Sus scrofa: one gene and its partners. The protein of the gene in region 4 purifies or fractionates together with the protein of the main gene of each other region. This does not show direct contact. Links are inferred from orthologs where the notes say so. Each region holds a gene or a part of one and is shown on either strand. Other genes may lie near its edges.

Region 1 (5,021 bases), on a different chromosome or scaffold from region 4:
CTATAGCCTCCGGCCTACGCCACAGCCACGCAGGATCCAAGCCGCGTCTGCAACCTACACCACAGCTCACGGCAACACCGGATCCTTAACCCACCGAGCAAGGGCAGGGATCGAACCCGCAACCTCATGGTTCCTAGTCGGATTCATTAACCACTGAGCCACGATGGGAACTCCTAAATTTTACATTTTAATTTAACTTTAAAAACTGATATACACTTCAGCTACCAAAAATTCTGAAAGTATACGTGGAACAATCTGGGTACATCAATCCGCACTTTGAACTGTGTGTTTAATGAACTCCAAATAAAGATCAAGTGTTTCTGATGAAAATTTAGTGTCCAAATTGAGATGTGCTCTAAGTACAAAATACTCGCCGGATTTTTAAGACGTAGTACAAAAAGGGAAAAATCTTTCATTAACAGTCTTTATATTCATCACATGTTGAAATATTTTGAGTATACTGGTTAAAGATGACATTAAAATTAATTTCACTTGTCTTTTACTTTTTACTGCATCTACTAGGCAATGTAACACGGCATGTGTGGCTCACACCGGCATACTGGAGAGCACCCAGCCAGCAGAACTAAGATAGATGAAAGAGGAAAGGGATTGGGAGCAAGAGGACCAAATGGATACTCTTCTTGCCAATAGTCCAGAAGAGACACAGGCTGAATTATCTAAGAGCTACCCATCTTCAAAACCTAAGACATACTACTACCTCCAAAGCTTTTCCAACCACAGCCATTCCTAATGAGATGCCTTTCTCCGGACTACTGGGGCACCTAATCTTCTGTAGCATTCACTTCAGCATTTGATCACTTACCACCTGTCATTTCTACTTAATTTGGGGGTAAGTTGTTTTTCAGATTAGACTACCAGCTCCTAGGCTACAGCATTTGATCACTTACCACCTGTCATTTCTACTTAATTTGGGGGTAAGTTTTTTTCAGATTAGACTACCAGCTCCTAGGCTAAGGGCCACAATTCAAGCATCTTTAATTTTTCCACATCGTGGGGTGCATTTTCAAAACTTTCAATAAGCAGAGATACATGGCTCCATACATTCCCTCACACATTGTGGAGGCACTCATGTAGCTAATTTTACTTTTCCACAGCAGAAGGGTTTTTTTTCTTTTTCTTTTAAGGGCTGCACCTGTGGCATATGGCAGTTCCCTCCAGGCCAGGGGTCTGAATTGTAGCTACAGGTGCCGGCCTATACCACAGCCACAACAAAGCCAGATCCAAGCCTCATCTGTGACCTACACCACAGCTCATAGCAATGCCAGATCCTTAACCCACTGAGTGAGGCCAGGGATGGAACCCATGTCCTCATGGATACTAGCTGGATCCATTTGCACTGCGCCACAACGGGAACTCCCACAAAGCAGAAGGTTTTGACATCTTAAGAACATGAGCTAAAATGATGTCAAAGTCAAGCAAGACTCAAGGCCAATGTTCCAATAAAGCAGTGATATCTAATCAGTGAGCAAGCACTGGTGAACTGCACTGGCTACCATCAAGAAAAAAAAAGTCAAGATGGCAAAACAATTTTGCATTTTCACAAATCCCATTAAAAATTTTAAAATTCTGATTATCTACAGTCTCCACAGCCAGAGATAACCTTTGCAACCCTAAGCATTAAGAACGTTCACTCAAGGAAAAAACAGTTTTCACATTTAAAAATTATCCCCTAAAAATCAATCCTAATAAACCACACATTTTCCAGGTAGAGAGCCACATATTACCAATAATCTAAACTCAGCGTTTTTCCATTTATATTAAAGTCAGGTTAAAAAAAAACTTTTAAAGGCAATGTTAGAAATACATAAATATATTTAACTGTATCATGGGTAATAAAGTATTTAACTTAAAGTACCATTTAAATTTTGTAAAATGAACCGTAAAAAAAAAAAAATAACACTCAAGCAACTGGTCAACTTTTACCCCTACAGAAATAGGAAGCTAGTAGCAACTAGTTGAAAGCAGAGGCACTTTAAGGTCATTGGCACTGATTTTTCCAGAACGTTGCAGTTCTCAGATTGTTTTGTTTGACATTTAAAACAAAAGCTGACAAGTTATAACAACAGAATCAATCTTTTCTGCATTTGTTTAATGGCTACAAAGCCTATATAACAGAGTGCAGTTAAAGCTTCTATCTCCAAACAAACAATTGAGCAATCAAAGATGGAGTCACGACACTTCTTAGGGAAAAATAAGTTAGGACAGCTCTAGTCTCAAAGGCAGAAAAAAGAAGAAATGGGGGAAACCTGTCAAATAGCCTGGATGAAATCAGGGAGTTAAAAAGAAAGCACTCATTTCCTTTAGCACTGTGGGAAAATCCCTGTGCTAACAGAAAGCTAAGGAAAGTTTGGTTTGGCTGATTTCATTTTGTTTTCCTTCCAACATCACCACTGAGTTTGAACAGCAGCTTTCCTCCCCTCCCATTACTCGGTAAAAACTCCCCCACTGAATAGAGTTGTCTTCCGGAGCCTCGCGCCCCCGCCTCCCAGCCTGCAAACGTGCTCAGACGCCTCTGGGCTTGTTGTGGTCTCGCCAGTCAGCGGGCCAGCGCTCCGAACTCAATGGACAATGGGAGCTCACCCCCGTCCACGCCAACTACAAAGCTCAGGAGGCCCATTTCCCTTTTCCTGCCCAGATGCTGTTTTTCCCCCTTCAAAGCAGGGCCCGGTGCTCCACTACAGCCCCACTTTGGTCTGGGACGCCTGTCTCCCTCCCCACCTGAGGAGCTGCTGAACCCCTCGACACCCCTCCATAAGTTGTAGAACGGCGCACAAGCCAAAGGAGACCCCCCCCCTCCCCAGGGGCTTGACTGGGGGCACGGTTTCAAAGTCCAGGTAGCACGAAGAGGGGATGTCTCTGGACGCTTTATCATAGCCCTCAAGGCTAAGCGGTCCCCACGCCAGACTCTACTTGTCTCCCCTCCCCCTAGAGCGAGAAAAGCGGGGAGGTGAGGGCAGGCAGCACTGCCGCCGCCTCCTCCAGTGGAGCCCCCTACGACACTCACCCTTTCACCACAAAGAAGGGGTCCTCCATGGACATGGCGTCCCGGCCCCCGGCCGCCTCACGCCTGCTCTGCGCACAGGGCGCCCGCGCCCTCCCAATCTCCCTCTGCCCACCCCACCCGCCTCGCGCAGCAGCCCGCGTCTCGGCCTGCGGGACCTGTAGCGGCTGCGCGCGCAGGCAGGGGTGCACCGGCCCGCCGCGGGTCCAGTACTCTGTCTGCACCTCAGACCGAAGCCGTGACTCTGGCGCCGGCCCCGGCGCGGCCCCCTCCTCGGCTCCTCCCGGCGCGTCCGGCCGCTTGGCCCCGCCCCCAGGTCCCTCAGCCTCGACCAATCACGAACGCCGTCAGCCGCACCACTTCCGCACTCGCGCTCACGTGACCAGAGCCCCCCCCACCCCCCATCAGCAGGGCCTGGGCCTTGCGTTACTCGACCCTGGAGGCGGGGCTCTGGCGGCGGCGGAGAGGGCGGGTCTTCTCAACACTCACCTCTCAAGATTCAGGGGGAGGAGCTGCTTGTTCCCTGGCAAGAAAGGTAGTCAGGTTTCCTAGATACGGAGATAGTATCAGCTTTGCACAATCTTTTCACCTTTCCTCTCCTTTTGATACTTATTTTGATAACATATAGATTTAGAAATCCATCTCGTCCTCGACTTAGAATAAAGCTCGTCTACCTTATCTGACTCTGATAATGTTGCACAACTCCTTTCTGTGGGTCTTATAGTGCCCAGCAAGACGCTGAAGGCTGTGAGTTATCTCAGTATCCTTGGAGGGGAAGGTATTATTATTCCCATTTTGCAGATTAGAAAAATTCATATAGGTTTCAAGATTTCTTGTGCTCACACAACCTGGACAGGGCAGAGCCCCAGATTCTGTGCACTTTCCACCAGGCTAGGATGTGTTTTTGTGTGTGTTGCGTTTTTTGTCTTTTCTGTGTTCTTGAAGTGATCAGTAAGATAATTTTTTCATACAGCATATGGTGCTTCCTGGAAGAGAGCATTTTTGAAGGACAAAGAAGGGGCCAGGTCTGGCAACTTCTTACCAGCTAAGTGGTTCAAGAGCTCTTCCAGGAAGCCTTTTGGTCAGAACAGTTTATCAAACTCATACGCTAGATAGTCTATGGGTTTTGCGAACTTTAATTGCTGATTATCATTGAGCACATACTGTGTGGCAGGCACTGAGCTTAGTTTATCTCAGGTGCTCTCACAATGTTGTAATCCCCATTATACAGATAAGAAATCTGAGACTTGGAATTTAAGTGACTGGCTTAAAGTTAGCAGTCTTTTTGAAGATAGAAGAGTCCTCAGAGCCAGACAAACCCTGTTTGAACCTGGGTTCTGTTATTCAGTCTCTCATCTATAAAATATGAATATTTAGCTCATAGATTGTTGTGAAGTTTAAATAAAAATGGCTAGATGGAGTTCCTGTTGTGACTCAGTGGGGTTAAGAACCCAACTAGTATCCATGAGGATGTGGGTTCCATCCCTAGCCACGCTCAGTGGATTAAGGATCCAGAGTTGCCTTGAAGTGCAGCATAAGCCAGCAGCTGCAGCTCCTATTCGACCACTAGCCTGGAAATTACACGTGCTGCAGGTGCAGCTCTAAAAGGGGAAAAAAAAAAAAAAAAAAGCCTGGAAACCCCAAGTCTCCCACAGAGTGAGGAAGTGAAGTTAGGGAAACCAGTCTGGAAGCTGCTGTGGTCATCTCACCTGAAGGGATGAGGACTAGACCAGGACAGCAGGGATTGTAAATGGAGAGGAAGGAGAGAATCTGATAGATGTTTCCAAGGAAAAACAAAACAAAACAACTAGACTTGATGAGAGATTGAATGGGATCAGGGAGGAAAGAGGTAAAAGTCAAAGACTCCAGGCTTCTCCAAGACCCTGGAGGAGCGATGGAGGTCAGATGTGGGGGGGAACCCTCCTGGAAGAGAACTGTTTCAGTTCTGAACATATTGAGGTGAGGAATTGAAAAGGGATCATCTTTCATTCATTCAACA
Region 2 (4,240 bases), on a different chromosome or scaffold from region 4:
AGAAGAACCTGCTAAAAGTAAATGGAAGGGATGAAAAACACTACATATGACGTGTGAAAACCAATCTCAGAGTATGAACTGAGAAAAAATATTAGATGGAACACTAAGCAGGAGTCTACTCTCAAGGGAAAAAGAGAAAATAAAAAAATAATAGGGGGGCTGTTACTCCTAGATCTTCTTCCACATCCTCTCTCGATTAGAAGTGTGGAACCAAAATTTCAAACTTTGGAAAGGTAATGACTTTGAAGGAGGAGCTAGGGAAGTGAACATATGATAAAGAAGTACAGCAGTAACTTTAGCTGTCAATGAGTTTCTTTGCTCTGGCATTGGCATTGTCAATACGGTCTTTGTTGGTGTCAGCCTGAAAAAAAGAGAAAGATACCAGCATTACTTCACAAGGTAAGCTGCTCTAATAAACATTAAATTTCGTATACTTAGAAAAATTCAGGAGATAGTCACATTACAAAACTCATTTTGGGTAAGAAGTGATAGAATATCAAACTCGTTTAGAACTACTTGGATATATAAACATGACAAAGGTATAAGAGAAGAACTTGCCAGTATTTCAAGAATTCTGTAACTTTTTTCTCTTTTCTTTTTTTTTAATGGCTGCATTCATGGCACATGCAGGTTCCTGGGCCAGGGACTGAATCCAAGCTCCAGCTTCGGCAATGCCAGATCCTTTAACATTCTGCACCAGGCTGGGATTGAACCTGCACCTCCATGGCAACCTAAGCCGATGCAGTCAGATTCTTAACCCACTGCACCATGGCAGGAACTCCCTCTGTAACATCTTTTTTCATAGTTGAATATGTCTGAAACTGGGATGCATCTTATATTAAATGGCATTTTAGATGCAATGAAAATATAAAAATGCTTTTCTCTGCTGGAGATCTGGACCATGTGGGAATCTCCTGAACTGAACACAGAATCTCATCTGGAGGAGTTCCTGTCATAGCTCAGCAGAAATGAATCTGACTAGTATCCATGAGGATGCAAGTTCGATCCCTGGTCTCGCTCAGAGGGTTAAGGATCCGGTGTTGCCATGAGCTGTGGTGTCGGTCGCAGACCCAGCTCAGATCCTGCCTTGCTGTGGCTGTGGCATAGGTTGGCAGTTGTAGCTCCGATTTGACCCCTAGCTTGGGAACCTCCACGTGTCTTTGGTGAAGCCCTAAAAAGACAAAAAAAAAAGAATCTCATCTGGAGCTACCCTGGGTCTAACTCAGAGAATGAAATAACCTGCCCCAAGATGTTTGGAACAGATGTATTACCAACCACATCAATATGTGAATTAAAATGATGGGTTTACTATGTAGCCTAAACACACATAACAGCATTAAAACCATCTTATGAACCACTGTTTGCCTCAATGAACTCCATCATAAGTGATTCAATAGAGCCAGGCTTAAAAGATTAACCCAAATTTTAACGGAGAGATTTTAATGAAGTAACAAGAAGTAAGAATAGCTTTTAGATATGACACAACCAAATATTGAACATAATTTAATTTCAGTTTCTTTTATATCATGTGAAGTAAAAAATAGCAATCATACTTTTTCATTACTCATAGGACTCTATCTTGTGTTTTTGTGTCCACCCCACAGGAACCATTCTGCAAAAGTGATTTTTACCTACTTACGACACGAGGACTTAGAAATTTAGTAATTTGTTATTAACAAAATAAAATTCCAAAAGCTTACGTGCTCATTAAGGGGAAAGTAAAACAAATGACAACACACACAAAAGTTAGAGAAGACAGTAAGCTTCATGAGTGAAATTTTAAATAAAGGCACTTCATTCCAAGGTCTTAGTCTCAAAATGAACAATGAGTGAGAGAGGAGGACTTGACTGATGTTTTTCTTTTCTTTCTTTTCTTTTTTTTTTTTAGGGCCACACCCAAGGCTCCCAGGCTTGGGGTCGAATTGGAGCTGTAGCTACCAGCCACAGCCACGTGGGATCCGAGCTGTGTCTGCAACCCATGCCACAGCTCACAGCAGTGCTAGATCCCTGACCCACTAAGGGAGGCCAGGGATCAAACCCGCATCCTCATGGATACTAGATTTGTTTCCGCTGCACCACAACAGGAACTCCAACTCTTGTTTTTCAATGTGTTAGACCTGCTGCCTCATCAAAACTGTTAAGACCTGTGAGGATAAGATCTTATCCTATTCCCCAAAGTATCCAGTACAGATGTCCATTGCTAAAACACTGTATTGGATGTCTCATTTTCCTGTGGCACTAAGAAGCTCTTACCTTTTCTGTGATCCGTTCTATTTGTCGATTTTGAGCCTCGATCTCATTGCCCATGTCCAGGGCCATGTTTTTTAGATTTCCTAGGATACTGCCCACTTGAGTCAAGTTCTCTTCCATTTCGTCTTCTCTGGCATCATTTGTTATACTATCGCAAAAAAAAAAAATTTAATTCAGTACTTTGGGGTGAATTATGGGGTGATTTAGTTTTCATAAAAATAAGTAACCAAAATGACCTCAGCAAGTGTTGAACCCAAGGAATGCAGGTTACCATTTTTGGGAAATACTCTATAGTAAAAAATGCAAAGACTGACCCAAGAGAGTGCAATATCTTAAAAGCCCTTAAGACAAGATAAAGAAACAACTCTAGGGAGTTCCCTGGTGGCCTAGGATCCAGAGTTGCCACTGCTGTGGTGCAGGTTCAATCCCTGACCACACATGTCATGGGCACAGCCAAAATAAAAACAAAAAACATGCTCATTCTCACACTCCACTCCAGATCTCCTGAATCAAAGATTGGAAGGGATCCTAGCAATCTACATTTTATTAAACTTCAAAGGTGATTCTGATGCATGCTTAAGTCTAAAGAATCACTGCTCTGAAATAGGTTGCAAAACTCCTGTAAAGTCTGAAATATTTACTAACTGACCATTTACAGATATCCTTATAGGGATCTGGTCAACTCCTACTCTGGATGACACTTTTTTTTTTTTGGCCCCACCCACAGCATGCAGAAGTTCTGGGTCAGGGATCAAACCCATGCCACGGCTATTACCAGAGCGACAGCAGTGACAACGGCAGATCCTTAACCCACTGCATCACATGGGAACATTTATTTTTTGTCTTTTGTCTTTTTAGGGCCACACCCTTGGCATATGGAGGTTCCCAGGCTAGGTTCGAATCAGAGCTGTAGCTGCTGGCCCATGCCGCAGCCACAGCAATGCAGGATCCGTGCCGCATCTGTGACCTACACCACAGCTCATGGCAACACCAGATCCTTAACCTACTGAGCAAGGCCAGGGATCAAACCCTCGTCCTCATGGACCCTGATTGGGTTCATTAACCACTGAGCCATGACAGGAACTCTGGATGATACATTTTAAAACACGTCTTTGTATTTACAGAAGTAAAACGTGATTACTTGAATAATTTAGAAATGTATTTTATATAGAAAAGTTAATTCATCACTGAAGGCCATTTTGTCAGAAGGCAAATTTTAGAACAGAATGAATGCTATTTCAAACCCACACCTCTGCAGTGACCTGCTGCAGTCGGATTCTTAACCCACTGCATCACGGCGGGGGGAATTCCAATAAATGCTATTTCTAATTGATGAGTTAGGACTCATGCATAACTATACCCATCCTCCAGAAAGAGCTATTCATTTAGGGAAAGGGTAAACATACTGGGAGGAGCTAGCATACCGTTTAATGTATCCGCCGCTGGCTGCTCCTGTGGCTGCTTGCTGAGGCTGACCATTTGTCACTCGGCCTGGCTGCTTAGATACTACATTGCTAGGAGAGTTGTCTCCACCATCACCCCATGTCGCCTTATAGGCTTTACCAGACTCAAAGTTCTTTGTCCTGTGTGAGAGACAGGAGTGTAGAGAGATACCGAAAAGCAGAAGAAGGAGAACTGTCATTATTCGTGCTTGTTACCTTGGTGATGGCCTACCACCCTTAGCATAAATGCTACACACAGCTAAATCGAGATTATCCATACTATGCTCTATCACAATCTGGTATGGGAAAAAGATGAACTGTTTAAGTCTGATGACATTAAAATTTTTTTTAAAGTTAAACTACTTCCACCAAATATTCGCTAAGCAGGTAGCAAATAGCATAATGTAATTACTATTTTTCATGTTCCCTTAGTTTCTGACACTCTCCAGAAGAGGGTACTGTACACTAGGGAAAAAATTCCTTAGGAAAGGTGCTCTGGGATGCCTTAAGGGTTCCTTGGACGCATCTCAGAGGCTGATGAAAGATGG
Region 3 (4,046 bases), about 42 Mb from region 4:
ACCAATGGGACCTAATCAAACCGACAAGCTTTTGCACAGCAAAGAAAACCAAAAAGAAAACAAAAAGACAACTTACAGAATGGGAGAAAATAGCTTCAAATGATGCAACTGACAAGGGCTTAATCTCTAGAATATATAAGCAACTTACACAACTCAACCACAAAAAAGCCAACAACCCAATGGAAAAATGGGCAAAAGATCTGAACAGACATTTCTCCAAGGAAGATATACAGATGGCCAACAAGCACATGAAAAAATGCTCAATGTCCCTGATTATTAGAGAAATGCAAATCAAACCTACCACGAGATACCATCTCACACCAGTCAGAATGGCCATCATTAATAAGTCCACAAATAACAAATGCTGGAGGGGGTGTGGAGAAAAAGGAACCCTCCTGCACTGTTGGTGGGCATGTAAGCTGGTACAACCACTATGGAAAACAGTATGGAGATACCTTAGATATCTATACATAGAACTACCATATGACCCCACAATCCCACTCTTGGGCATATATCCAGACAAAACTTTCCTTAGAAAAAACACATGTACCCGCATATTCACTGCAGCACAATTCACAATTGCCAAGACATGGAAACAACCCAAATGTCCATCGACAGATGATTGGATTAGGAAGATGCGGTATATATACACAATGGAATACTACTCAGCCATAAAAAAGAACGAAATAATGCCATTTGCAGCAACATGGATGGAACTGTAGACTCTCATGCTGAGTGAAGTAAGTCAGAAAGAGAAAGACAAATACCATAGGATATCACTTATATCTGGAAGCTAATATATGGCACAAATGAACCTTTCCACAGAAAAGAAAATCATGGACTTGGAGAACAGACTTGTGGTTGCCGAGGGGGAGGGGGAGGAAGTGGGGTGGATGGGGCGCTTGGGGCGCATAGATTCAGACTATTGCCTTTGGAATGGATTAGCAATGAGATCCTGCTGTGTGGCACTGGGAACTGTGTCTAGTCACTTATGAGGGAGCCTGATAATGTGAGAAAATAGAATGTGTACATGTACGTGTAACCAGGTCACCGTGCTATACAGCAGGAAAAAAAGTTGTATTGGAGAAATAACAATTAAGAAAAAAACAGAAAGAAGTTCATGGTGAGCCTTGGGGCAGCCCTCCGGCCTAGAACCGGGGCCAGGGCCCTGAGGAGTGATCCCAGGCAGGCTCCTTCATTCCCTTCTGGGCCTCAGGATTCCCTCCATGCAAAAGGGCCGGGACTCAGAGCGGACAGAAGGAGGCCGGCCACTCACGTTGGACACAAACACCTCGCTCTGCCCGCTGTCCAGCATCTGCTCCAGCTCCTCGTCAGACACCATGCCAGCATTTGCTGTGAAGGGAAAGGCCAGGCTCAGCGCTGGTCAGGTCACCTGACCCGGCAGGCCCGGCGCCGCAACTCACTGATCTTCAGCTGCCTCCGGATCCGCTCCACGTTCTTCTCCCGGTACTCGGACTGCATGGAGTTGCACTTGTTGATGAGCTCCACGAATTGCTGGGACAGGACCCCATGCTAAGGAGGGAGAAGAGAGGCTGGGCACCCCTGGGAGGATCCCTGCTCCCTCGGGGCCTCAGCATCCCCATGGGTACAGGGAGCAAAGAGCATGAGCTGTTACAGGTGCCTGTCGCCTTAACCGCCTTGAATGGGCTCCTCCAGTCCCTCAAGGTGAAAGTCAAAGCCCTCCCCAAGGGCCTGAGAGGCCCTATATGACCCACCCCTCTCCCTGGTTCCCATCTAACCTCACCTTCCAATACTGTTTCCTCACTCCTTCCCTCCAGCCATAGTGGGCTCCTTACTCCTCCATGAACAAAGGACAGCCCCAGCTCGGGCCTTTGTACTCGCCCCTCCTTGGGCCTAAAATGCTCAGGCCCCACAAAGGTAATTAGTCTGTGTTTCAAGGTCGCCCTCTTATTTATTTATTTATTTGCCGCCCCCCCCTTCCTTTTTGTGCTTTTTAGGGCTGCACCCAAGGCATATGGAGCTTCCCAGTCTAGGGGTCAAATTGGAGCCACAGTTGCCAGCCTATAGCACAGCCACAGCAACACAAGATCTGAGCTGCACCTGCCACCTACACCACAGCTCACGGCAAGGCAGATCCTTAACCCACTGAGCAAGGCCAGGGATTGAACCCGCAACCTCATGATTACTAGTCAGATTCGTTTTCGCTGTGCCACAACAGGAACTCCAATTTTCTTTTTTGCTTTTTATTTATTTATTTATTTATTTATTTATTTATTTATTTATTTATTTATTTTTTAGGGTTTCACCCGTGGCATATGGAAGTTCCCAGGCTAGGGGTTGAATTGGAGCTGCAGCTTCCAGCCTACACCACAGCCACAGCAACGTGGGATCTAAGCCCCAGCTCACCACAATACAGGTCTTTAATCCACCAAGGGAGGCCAGGGATCGAACCTGCATCCTCATGAATACTAGTCGGGTTCATTACCGCTGAACCACAAGGGGAACTCCCTCAATATCACCTTGTGAACAGAGTTTTCTCTGCCTTATTGCAATTGCTACTTGCCTTCTCCTAGTGTTCTCAATCCCTCTTCTCCTGCTCTGGTCCCTTAACCCACCCTATGTTCTGAAATAACTTCCTGATTTATTATGGTGCTTCTCTCTCCTACCAGAATGTAAGCTCCGCGAGGATTGGGGTCTTTGGTTCACAAACAGCTAGAAAAGGCCCTCACACAGTAGACCCTTAATAAATAGGTGTTGAATGCTTGCTGAACACCAGCCTCACGGCTTAGACTAGAGGTGGGCCAGGTATACCTGGAGGTCCAGTGATTGCCCAGACTTCACAGGTCCACTCCAGCCTCTCACACCAGCGACCACCATAACCTCCCCCTGAAACGCCCTCTCACCTTGTCCATTCCTCAGTGTCTAAAATGTGCTTGGAGTTCCCGTCGTGGCGCAGTGGTTAACGAATCCGACAAGGAACCATGAGGTTGCGGGTTCAGTCCCTGGCCTTGCTCAGTGGGTTAAGGATCCAGCATTGCCATGAGCTGTGGTATAGGTTGCAGATGTGGCTCATTTCCCACATTGCTGTGGCTGTGGTGTAGGCCAGTGGCTACAGCTCCGATTAGACCCCTAGCCTGGGAACCTCCATATGCCGTGGGAAGCAGCCCTAGAAAAGGCAAAAAGACAAAATAAATAAATAAATAAATATAAGTAAAATGTGCTCACACCTGGAGTTCCTGTTGTGGCTCAACGGTTAAGAACCCGCCTAGTATCCATGAGGACGTGGGTTCGGTCCCTGGCCTTGCTCACTGGGTTAAAGAGCTGGCATTGCTGTGAGCTGTGGTATAGGTCAAAGACACGGCATGGCTCTGGGGTTGCTGTGGCTGTGGTGTAGGATGGTAGCTATAGCTCTGATTTGACCCCTAGTCTGGGAACTTCCACATGCTGTGGGTGTGGCCCTAAAAAGACACAAAAATAAAAAAATAAAATGTGCTCATTCCTTGGATTTCCTCAGAGACACAGCTGCTCTCCCGGCTTCAGCTGCACCCTTTCAAGATGCCCAAACTGTTTCGTCTTCAATCTGGGGTCTTTGCTGAGCTCTGGGCCCACCTATTCCAACTCTGAGCTCTAAGTATGCAAAACCCCTCCCCACTGGGCACCAAGAGGAGGCTGGTCAGACCTCAACTCTCCTTACAAAGATGGTGACTCAGTGACCTTCCCCCCATACCCCACCCCCAGAAGTTCCTCTTCCTAACTTCTTTTTTTTTTTTTTTTTTTTTTTGGCTTTTTAGGGCTGCACCCGCAGCACATGGAGGTTCCCAGGCTAGGGTTCTAATCGGAACTACAGCTGCCAGCCTACACCACAGCCACAGCAACGCCAGATCTGAGCCACGTCTGTGACCTATACCACAGCTCATGAGAACACCGGATCCTTAACCCACTGAGCAAGGCCAGGGATCAAACCCACAACCTCATGGTTCCCAGTCGGAGTCATTTCCACTGCGCCATGACGGGAACTTCTTCTCTTCCTGACTTCTTGATTTCGGCCTCTGGAGCAGAGGATG
Region 4 (3,506 bases):
GTCCGTCGAGGGGAAGGAAGGCCATAGGCCCTGTCCTGTGACACTGACTGTGCCCGGCCACGGGACACGCGTGAGATGCTTGCCCCCTCAGGACAGCTGAGACCCAGAGGCCCTGCTAAGCTCCAGGAGGGCAGGGGCAGACAAAAGACAAATGGAACTTGCAGAACCACAGGAGACGGAAAAGCAGTTCAGTTCCTCCAACACCCCGCACCCCACCTCCCACCTCTAGAGTACAATAGGGCCATGGAAGAGAAAGAGCACTGATGGGAGGGGCAGGAGGCCCTTAACCAGACGAAAGGGTCAGCCCAGGTAGGTTTCCCATCTCAGCTAACACTTCCCGCAGAAAAGTAACAAAGGAAATGGCAAGAGAGGGCCACTGGGAGTCTTACATACCACCCTAAAATGTTGGGGGAGGTTTTGAATTTTCTGTATGCTGAGACCTCCAGAAAATTCCTCTTCTTGAGACAAGTGACAGTGATGGAGAAAGGAGAGATAAAGAAAGTCAGGGAGGAGTTCCCTCTGTGGAGCAGTGGGATTGGCAGCATCTCTGCAGCCCCAGGATACAGGTTGGATCTGGCATTCTCTGGCCCAGGAACTCCATATGCTGCAGGGGTCGCCAAAACAACAAAACAAAACAAACAAGAAAGACAAGGCATTTCCACTTTTCTCCTTCAAATATATGCTCTCCGCCCCTCCAATAACTTGGCCCTCCAATGGGAGACTCTGCCAGAGGGTCTTCAGAGAGAAAAGCAATAGAAGGGCCAGGAGTTCCCGCTGTGGCTCAGCAGATTAAGAACCCAACTAGTATCCATGAGGATATAGATTCGATCCTGGCCTTGCTCAGTGGGTTAAGGACTGACTGAGTGTTGCTATTGAGCTGTGGTGCAGGTTGCAGACCGGCTCGGATCCTGAGTTGCAGTGGCTGTGGTGTAGGCTGGCAGCTGCAGCTCCAATTCGACCCCTAGCCTGGGAACTTCCATATATGGTGGGTGTGGCCCTAAGAAGACTAAAAAGAAAAAGAAATAGAAGGTCCAAACGGAAAGGGAGAAAGGACCTCACACGCATAGGGATACAGAAAGGTCTTTATTGCCCACTGGCCACCGTCAGTTCCATCAGCTTCCCAGCCACATGCTGGGCCCTCTGGGTCTGTCTCTCCAACCACCTCTGAGGCCCCCTGAGACACAGCCACAGTCTGGCTCTCTCCTTCCAGGGACCAAGGTACTCACGGGGGCAGACAGTGCGGGGGTCTCAGAGTGAGAGGCGGGAGGCTCGAGCAGCATTCTTTGTGGAGGAGCATGGGAGAGAGGGCCCCTCTCGGCACCCACTATGGAAGGTTGCCCTGAAGAGGAGGGCAGGGTGGAAGGGGTTCCCTAAGTTATTTTAAGGGATGACGTTGGTGGCAAAGAGCACGATGAAGAGGATGATGATAAAAACGATCACGCAGATGATGACGATCATCTTCACGTTCTTCCACCAGAACTTCCGAGCCACCTTCTGGGACGTGGTCTTGAAGTGCTCAGACTGCAAGAGATAAGGCAGAGTGACCCAGTGCCTCCTCCCACTGGACCACGAGTACAAACAGAGACCCGCACACCACACATTTAAGTGTTTAAGTGCTAGGAGTTTCCCGGTGGCTCAGTAGGCTAAGGATCTGGCATTGTCACTGTGGTGGCTCAGGCTGCAGCCATGGCCAGGGCTCAATCCCTGGCCCGGGGAACTTCTGCCTGCGTTGGGCATGGCCCAAAAAAATAAAAATAAAAAAAAAATATTTAGGTGCTGGAGTTCCTGCTGTGGCCCAACAGGATGGGTGGAGTCTTGGGAGCACTGGGACGCAGGCTTGATCCCTGGCCATGCACCATGGGTTAAGGATCCAGCCTTGCCGCAGATTCAGCCTTAAGGGGCAACTGCAGCTCAGATCTGATCTGTGGCCTGGGAACTCCCTGAGCTGCAGGGCGGCCAAAAAAGAAAAAAAAAAAATTACATAATTATATATTTGGGAGTTCCCATCATGGCTCAGTGGTTAACGAACCTGACTAATTACCATGAGGTGACAGGTTTGATCCCTGGCCTTGCTCAGTGGGTTAAGAATCCAGTGTTGCCGTGAGCTGTGGTGTAGGTCTCAGACGAAGTTCGGATCTGGTGTTGCTGTGGCTGTGGTGTCAGCTCCAATTAGACCCCCAGCCTGGGAACTTCCACATGCCAGGGGTGTGGCCCTAAAAAGACAAAATAAAAATTTTTTATATATTTGTATATTATACACTTTGGATATTTTACATATTTATATATTTTATATATTTTATATATTATATATTTGTATATAAATATATATATTTATTTAAGTGCTAAAGGTGAGGTAACAGACTGCTGAATAAAAAGGTTCTGTCCTCCTACCTTGACAAATATACCTTCACAACAACCTGGTGGGCCAAGTTCAAATTTAGGATTCTTGGGCTCACCCCTTGGGTGCCCTGACTGTCCCCTTCTCTTCTTACCCCTGCACTGTCATGTATACTGAGGGGCCTCTGACATATGCTCACACCCACAGTTGTGACATCGTCAGTGCAACCTGCCCTTGGGAGGGCAGACACTGGGGCTGAGGGGTACAGGCTCCAGGGGGACACATGTCCCTGGTTTTGTGACTTCTGGCTCCCTGAGGACCACTGAAGCTGGAGGAGGGGCCAGGGCCATTCAGGGGTTGGAAATGAGGGAAAAATGCTCTTCCTCTCCCAATTCAAGTTGCAGAAATTAACTTTCCTGGGCTATGCTCCCCAGACGAGGCTGTGGAAAGAAACACTAAGTCTCAGGGAGTCAAAGGATCTATACCCAAGGTCACACACAGGACTCAGAAAGCCAAGGCCAGGCTCTCCCATGGATGTGGAATCCTATGCTCCAGCCCTCTGCTGAACTTTAGAGTTCCTCCCTCCCTGGGCAGCTGGCTGCAGCCTCTGGCTGGAGAGAGAGAATGAGATCTAGCAAGATGTGGATGATATTGGGGAGTTCCTCTTGTGGCTCAGCACTAAAGAAACCAATTAGCATCGATGAGGACACGGGTTCGATCCCTGGCCTTGTCCAGTGGGTTAAGGATCTGCCATTGTTGTGAGGGGCAGTGTAGGTTACAGATCCAGCCTGGATCCCAAGCTGCTGTGGCTGTGGCTGTGGCCAGAGGCAACAGCTCTGATTGGACCCCTAGCCTGGGAACTTCCATATGCTACAGGTACCAGATGGCCTAAAAAAAAAAAAAAAAAAAAGATGTGGGAGATATTATTCTAGCCTTTAGCTAGCAGAGAACCCTGGATCAAAGACTTTTACTGCTTTTCCCACCTTCTTTTTAAAGCTGGCTCAGCAAGATTCTTAACAGTTTTCCACCACCTGCCTAACAACTCCTGGGGAAGGCCTAGAGCCCTAAGAGGATTTTCTGGAGCCAATATTTTTGCCCTGGGGAAGGCCAGATCCAAATGATTGTCAAGGGCAGCCTTCAAAGGGAAAGTCTCCTAGGAGAGAAGCCT
Region 5 (4,240 bases), on a different chromosome or scaffold from region 4:
CCTCTGTAAATTTCTACCACCGTACCTTTGCTCGTACTGTTCTCTTGCCTGAATTTACCTTACCCCTTCTCTCTGCTATTCACGCTTCCTTTAATGTCCACCTCTTCTTGAGGCCTTTTTGGCCACTTGGAGTCTTACCGATTATACTTGCCTCTGAACGCCTATAGTACTGTTGAATATAGCAAATTACTGATTTTTTGCTTGTGTATGTAAATTCTTTATCTACATATAGATGGTAAGCTATTTGAAGTCAGGAGTGAGTTTTTACTTCTGTGTTCTCAGCACACAGCAAATGCTCTCAATATGTGTTTTTTTGTTTGTTTGTTTGTTTTGTTTTGTTTTGTTTTGTTTTGTTTGGCTTTTTGCTATTTCTTGGGCCGCTCCCGCGGCATATGAAGGTTCCCAGGCTAGGGGTCGAATCGGAGCTGTAGCCACCGGCCTACACCAGAGCCACAGCAACGCGGGATCCGAGCCGCATCTGCAACCTACACCACAGCTCATGGCAACGCCGGATCGTTAACCCACTGAGCAAGGGCAGGGACCGAACCTGCAACCTCATGGTTCCTAGTCGGATTCGTTAACCACTGCGCCACAATGGGAACTCCCAATATGTGTTTTTTGAGACATAGTTTCAGTAAGCTTAGAAAAGGTAGCCTGTAACCGTACAAAGTAGTTTTCTCAGAGATTTTGAACCTCAATACAGTGTGAAGGAAAATGATTGTATGGGTTTCAGGTAAGCTGAGAACTCAGTATAGATTAATACAGTTTTAACATTTTAGCAAGAACACCATCTTTGTTTGGGTCCAATCTGAGTCCATAGGTGTTTTTCTGCTTTTAGATTCTCCAGGGAACCAAAATTCTGAATTGCAGTTCCCTCTGAGATTCCCTTACAAGGTAAATGACACACAAGTCCCAGATTTGTCAGAATGAATGAAGGAAAACTCTGAGTTAGCAAAGAACAAATTTATTAATTTAGGGAAGAGCCTATTTCATAGTAATTTTCCTAGTTGGAAATCTTTAGGGGGCATAGTTTTGCTTTTAATTGGAATTAAAACCAAATAATTCTAATATTGTATGTCAGTTCTACTTCAATTTAAAAAAATGATGTCCAAAAAAACCCCCAAATGATTCTAGGTTAATATGAAATTTCAAGTTCTTGTTTAATTTCCTCAGCGCCAGCAGAAACTTCAGAAGGAACGTCTCATGAATGACTTCTCTGCAGCCTTAAACAGTTTCCAGGCTGTGCAGAGAAGGGTGTCTGAAAAGGAAAAGGAGAGTATTGCCAGAGCAAGAGCTGGATCTCGTCTTTCTGTAAGTTTATTCCCGAAAGAAGACCTTTGCAAATGTCAGGATGTTCTTTCCTAAGGTTTTTTGTTGTTGTTGTTGTTTTTTAAATTTTTTATCATTTGTGTTTGTTTACTATCCTCCAAATAATAAACATAGACATTAACTGCTGTGACAATGTCAGATTGGTATAAGCTTTGTTTTAAAAAAAAAAGTGTGCGTGTGGTCAAAGACTAGAAAGAAATATGTACAACGATTTACGAAAGTGACAGGTAAAATTACTTGTAATTTTTTTTCTTTTTATTGTTATGTTGATATTATGTTAAAAACTTCAAAGTGTAATAAATCCATTTCCTAGAATATACCAGGCTAGGTTATTTGGATTAGCCTTCTCTTTGAAAAGACTTAACAAAGACTAGATTTTAACAGCATAACTCTTCAAAAGTATCAAAGAGCCATGAAAATATTAAGGTCAGAGTCTAAGAGAAGCTGTAAATCCATAAAGGTAAGCAGAGCACTGAAGCTGCTTTTGCGCAGAGTACTTTTTACTGAGGGCAAACTTGAATTTAGTGTTGCTGGTCCTCCTGTCATGGGGCGGGAGGCAAAAGTCAAAGCCAAGGGTCCACACAAGGTGAATAATCTAAAATAAGGTGCTCCTCCTGCTGCAGAGCACTAGTTACTTGTGATGGAACATGATTAAGTATAATGTGAGAAAAAGAATGTATATATATATATATATATATATGTATGTATGAATGACTGGGTCACTTTGCTGTACAGCAGAAATTGACAGAACATTATAAATCAACTATAATAAAAAATAAAAAAAAAGGTGCGGCTCAATTTAAACTGGGCCCTAAAAAATGAAAAATAAGCCCCCCTTTCCCCTAGCAATCTGCAAAAAAAGATTGCATTGGCATTGAGAATGGCAAGATGGAGAGGAAATCCAGATAATAAGGTGTACCATAAAGTAATCTTCAGATAAATTTACTGCTCAAATTCATACTACCTGAATGGTCCCAAAGCCTCAAGTTTCAAGTAGTCCTGGACTGGTAGAGTACCTGTGTACCAAGCAGAAGCAAATACAATCCTCTCTATTTAGACTTTGTCCTAACCCTAAAAGAGTACCTTCGAATAATTTTCCAAGTGTAGTGAGCAGCCCAAGGTGCACAAATAAACAAAAACCCTGAACAAGAACTACTAGAAACAACAGTGAGGTGAAATAGACCTTCAAAGACTTCATACATTAGAATTATAAGACAACTGTACTTATTATGTTTAAAGAAATAGAAGAGAATCTTAAACACATCTACAGGAAGCAGGAAACTTCTCAAAAAACTTTGGAAAGAGTCAAAAGATTTTCTAGAATTGAAAAATATAATGTAGAAATTAAAAGCTTAAAGGCTGTGGGTTTAACTAGAAAATAGATTAGAAGGTATTATCCAGCATGTAGGACAAGGGGTTAAGAAGTTAAATCGGGAAAAAGGTTATGAGAAATAGGGAATGAAGTGAAAAGATCTAAACTGGATTTAAGTAGAGTTACAAAATGAGAATAGAGCAGACATAGATCAGCAGTGATATTTGAAGAGATGACTGGTAATATTTCAGAACTGATGAAAGACAGTAATCTACAGTTTCTTTTTTTTTTTTTTTTCTTTTTTGCTATTTCTTGGGCCGCTCCCGTGGCATATGGAGGTTCCCAGGCTAGGGGTCTAATCAGAACTGTAGCCGCCAACCTACGCCAGAGCCACAGCAACGCGGGATCCTTAACCCACTGAGCAAGGGCAGGGACCAAACCCACAACCTCATGGTTCCTAGTCTGATTCGTTAACCGCTGCGCCACGGCGGGAACTCCCTAATCTACAGTTTCAAGAAGCCTGACAAATCCCAAGAAGGGTAAATTTTAAAATTCTCATTTAGGTATATCAAAGAGAAACTTCAGAACACCAAAGACAAAGAGAAAATCATTAAAAAAAAAAATAGGGGCCAGGAAAACAACAGAATACCTTTAAAGATGCCACAGGTAGAGTGACAGCTGACTTGTCAACAGTGACAGCTGAAGCAAGCAGAGTGTTGTCTTTAATGTTACGGAGGACAATGATTGTCTATCTAGGATTCTAAACCTAGAGAAAATAGCTACTCAGAATGAGGGCATTCTCAGAATGAAAGACATTTTCAGTCAAAAGAGAGTTTGCTATCAGCGCACCTTACGTAAGAACATTCTGAAAGATGTACTTCAAGCAGGAAGGCGATCCCAGATAGTGAGTCTGAAAAACAAAGAAAATGGTAAATATTACAGACGAATCACAAACAAGGAGATACTGCTGTATGTACAACTGATAAAAGGCTAATATCCAGAAGATATAGAAGTTCCCGTCGTGGCTCAGCAGTTAACGAAAATCAACTAGGAACCATGAGGTTGAGGGTTCGATCCCTGCCCTTGCTCAGTGGGTTAAGGATTGGTGTTGCCGCGAGCTGTGGTGTAGGTTGCAGGTGCAGCTCAGATCCCGCATTGCTGTGGCTCTGGCATAGGCTGGCAGCTACAGCTCCAATTAGACCCCTAGCCTGGGAACCTCCATATGCTGCAGGAGTGGCCCAAGAAATAATAAAAACAAAACAGAATATATAAAGAATTCTCAGGAATCAATATGAAAAAGACAACCCAATAAAACAATAGTTTCTCAAACTTTTTGATCTCAGGACCCCATTACACTCTTAAAAAGTATTAAGGGTTCCAAAAAGATTTTGTTTGTATAAATTATATCTATTGATATTTATTGTAATAGAATTAAAACTGAGACATTTTAAAAATGTTTATAAATAATAAACCCAATATAACCTATTTTATATTTTATATAGTAAACATAGTTTATATTTAAAACTATTTTTTGAAAAACAAGTTGCTGAGAAGAGTGGCATTGTTTTTGTTTTTACATGTATTTTTATTATCTGGCTT

Evidence for each region.
Region 1: the proteins of VAMP8 (region 4) and STX6 purify together in Homo sapiens (affinity purification with mass spectrometry; 3 studies listed by BioGRID and IntAct, counting the BioPlex papers as one, with this or other methods). This does not show direct contact. The link is inferred for Sus scrofa from reciprocal best matches to the Homo sapiens genes VAMP8 and STX6.
Region 2: the proteins of VAMP8 (region 4) and SNAP23 purify together in Homo sapiens (affinity purification with western blotting; 3 studies listed by BioGRID and IntAct, with this or other methods). This does not show direct contact. The link is inferred for Sus scrofa from reciprocal best matches to the Homo sapiens genes VAMP8 and SNAP23.
Region 3: the proteins of VAMP8 (region 4) and STX4 purify together in Homo sapiens (affinity purification with western blotting; 3 studies listed by BioGRID and IntAct, with this or other methods). This does not show direct contact. The link is inferred for Sus scrofa from reciprocal best matches to the Homo sapiens genes VAMP8 and STX4.
Region 5: the proteins of VAMP8 (region 4) and STX12 purify together in Homo sapiens (affinity purification with mass spectrometry; 3 studies listed by BioGRID and IntAct, counting the BioPlex papers as one, with this or other methods). This does not show direct contact. The link is inferred for Sus scrofa from reciprocal best matches to the Homo sapiens genes VAMP8 and STX12.

What each region holds. Positions count from the first base shown.
Region 1 is NC_010451.4:122,577,307-122,582,327, forward strand, and holds the start of STX6 (syntaxin-6), read right to left. Parts: upstream 3,268-5,021; 5' UTR 3,061-3,267; coding exon 3,026-3,060; intron 1-3,025. UniProt on the Homo sapiens protein: SNARE promoting movement of transport vesicles to target membranes. Targets endosomes to the trans-Golgi network, and may therefore function in retrograde trafficking.
Region 2 is NC_010443.5:128,850,620-128,854,859, forward strand, and holds part of SNAP23 (synaptosomal-associated protein 23), read right to left. Parts: intron 3,834-4,240; coding exon 3,675-3,833; intron 2,399-3,674; coding exon 2,254-2,398; intron 362-2,253; coding exon 296-361; 3' UTR 1-295. UniProt on the Homo sapiens protein: Essential component of the high affinity receptor for the general membrane fusion machinery and an important regulator of transport vesicle docking and fusion.
Region 3 is NC_010445.4:17,424,736-17,428,781, forward strand, and holds part of STX4 (syntaxin-4), read right to left. Parts: intron 1,534-4,046; coding exon 1,425-1,533; intron 1,354-1,424; coding exon 1,277-1,353; intron 1-1,276. UniProt on the Homo sapiens protein: Plasma membrane t-SNARE that mediates docking of transport vesicles. Necessary for the translocation of SLC2A4 from intracellular vesicles to the plasma membrane.
Region 4 is NC_010445.4:59,186,836-59,190,341, forward strand, and holds the end of VAMP8 (vesicle-associated membrane protein 8), read right to left. Parts: intron 1,522-3,506; coding exon 1,381-1,521; 3' UTR 1,065-1,380; downstream 1-1,064. UniProt on the Homo sapiens protein: SNAREs, soluble N-ethylmaleimide-sensitive factor-attachment protein receptors, are essential proteins for fusion of cellular membranes.
Region 5 is NC_010448.4:84,942,260-84,946,499, forward strand, and holds part of STX12 (syntaxin-12), read left to right. Parts: intron 1-1,173; coding exon 1,174-1,311; intron 1,312-4,240. UniProt on the Homo sapiens protein: SNARE promoting fusion of transport vesicles with target membranes. Together with SNARE STX6, promotes movement of vesicles from endosomes to the cell membrane, and may therefore function in the endocytic recycling pathway.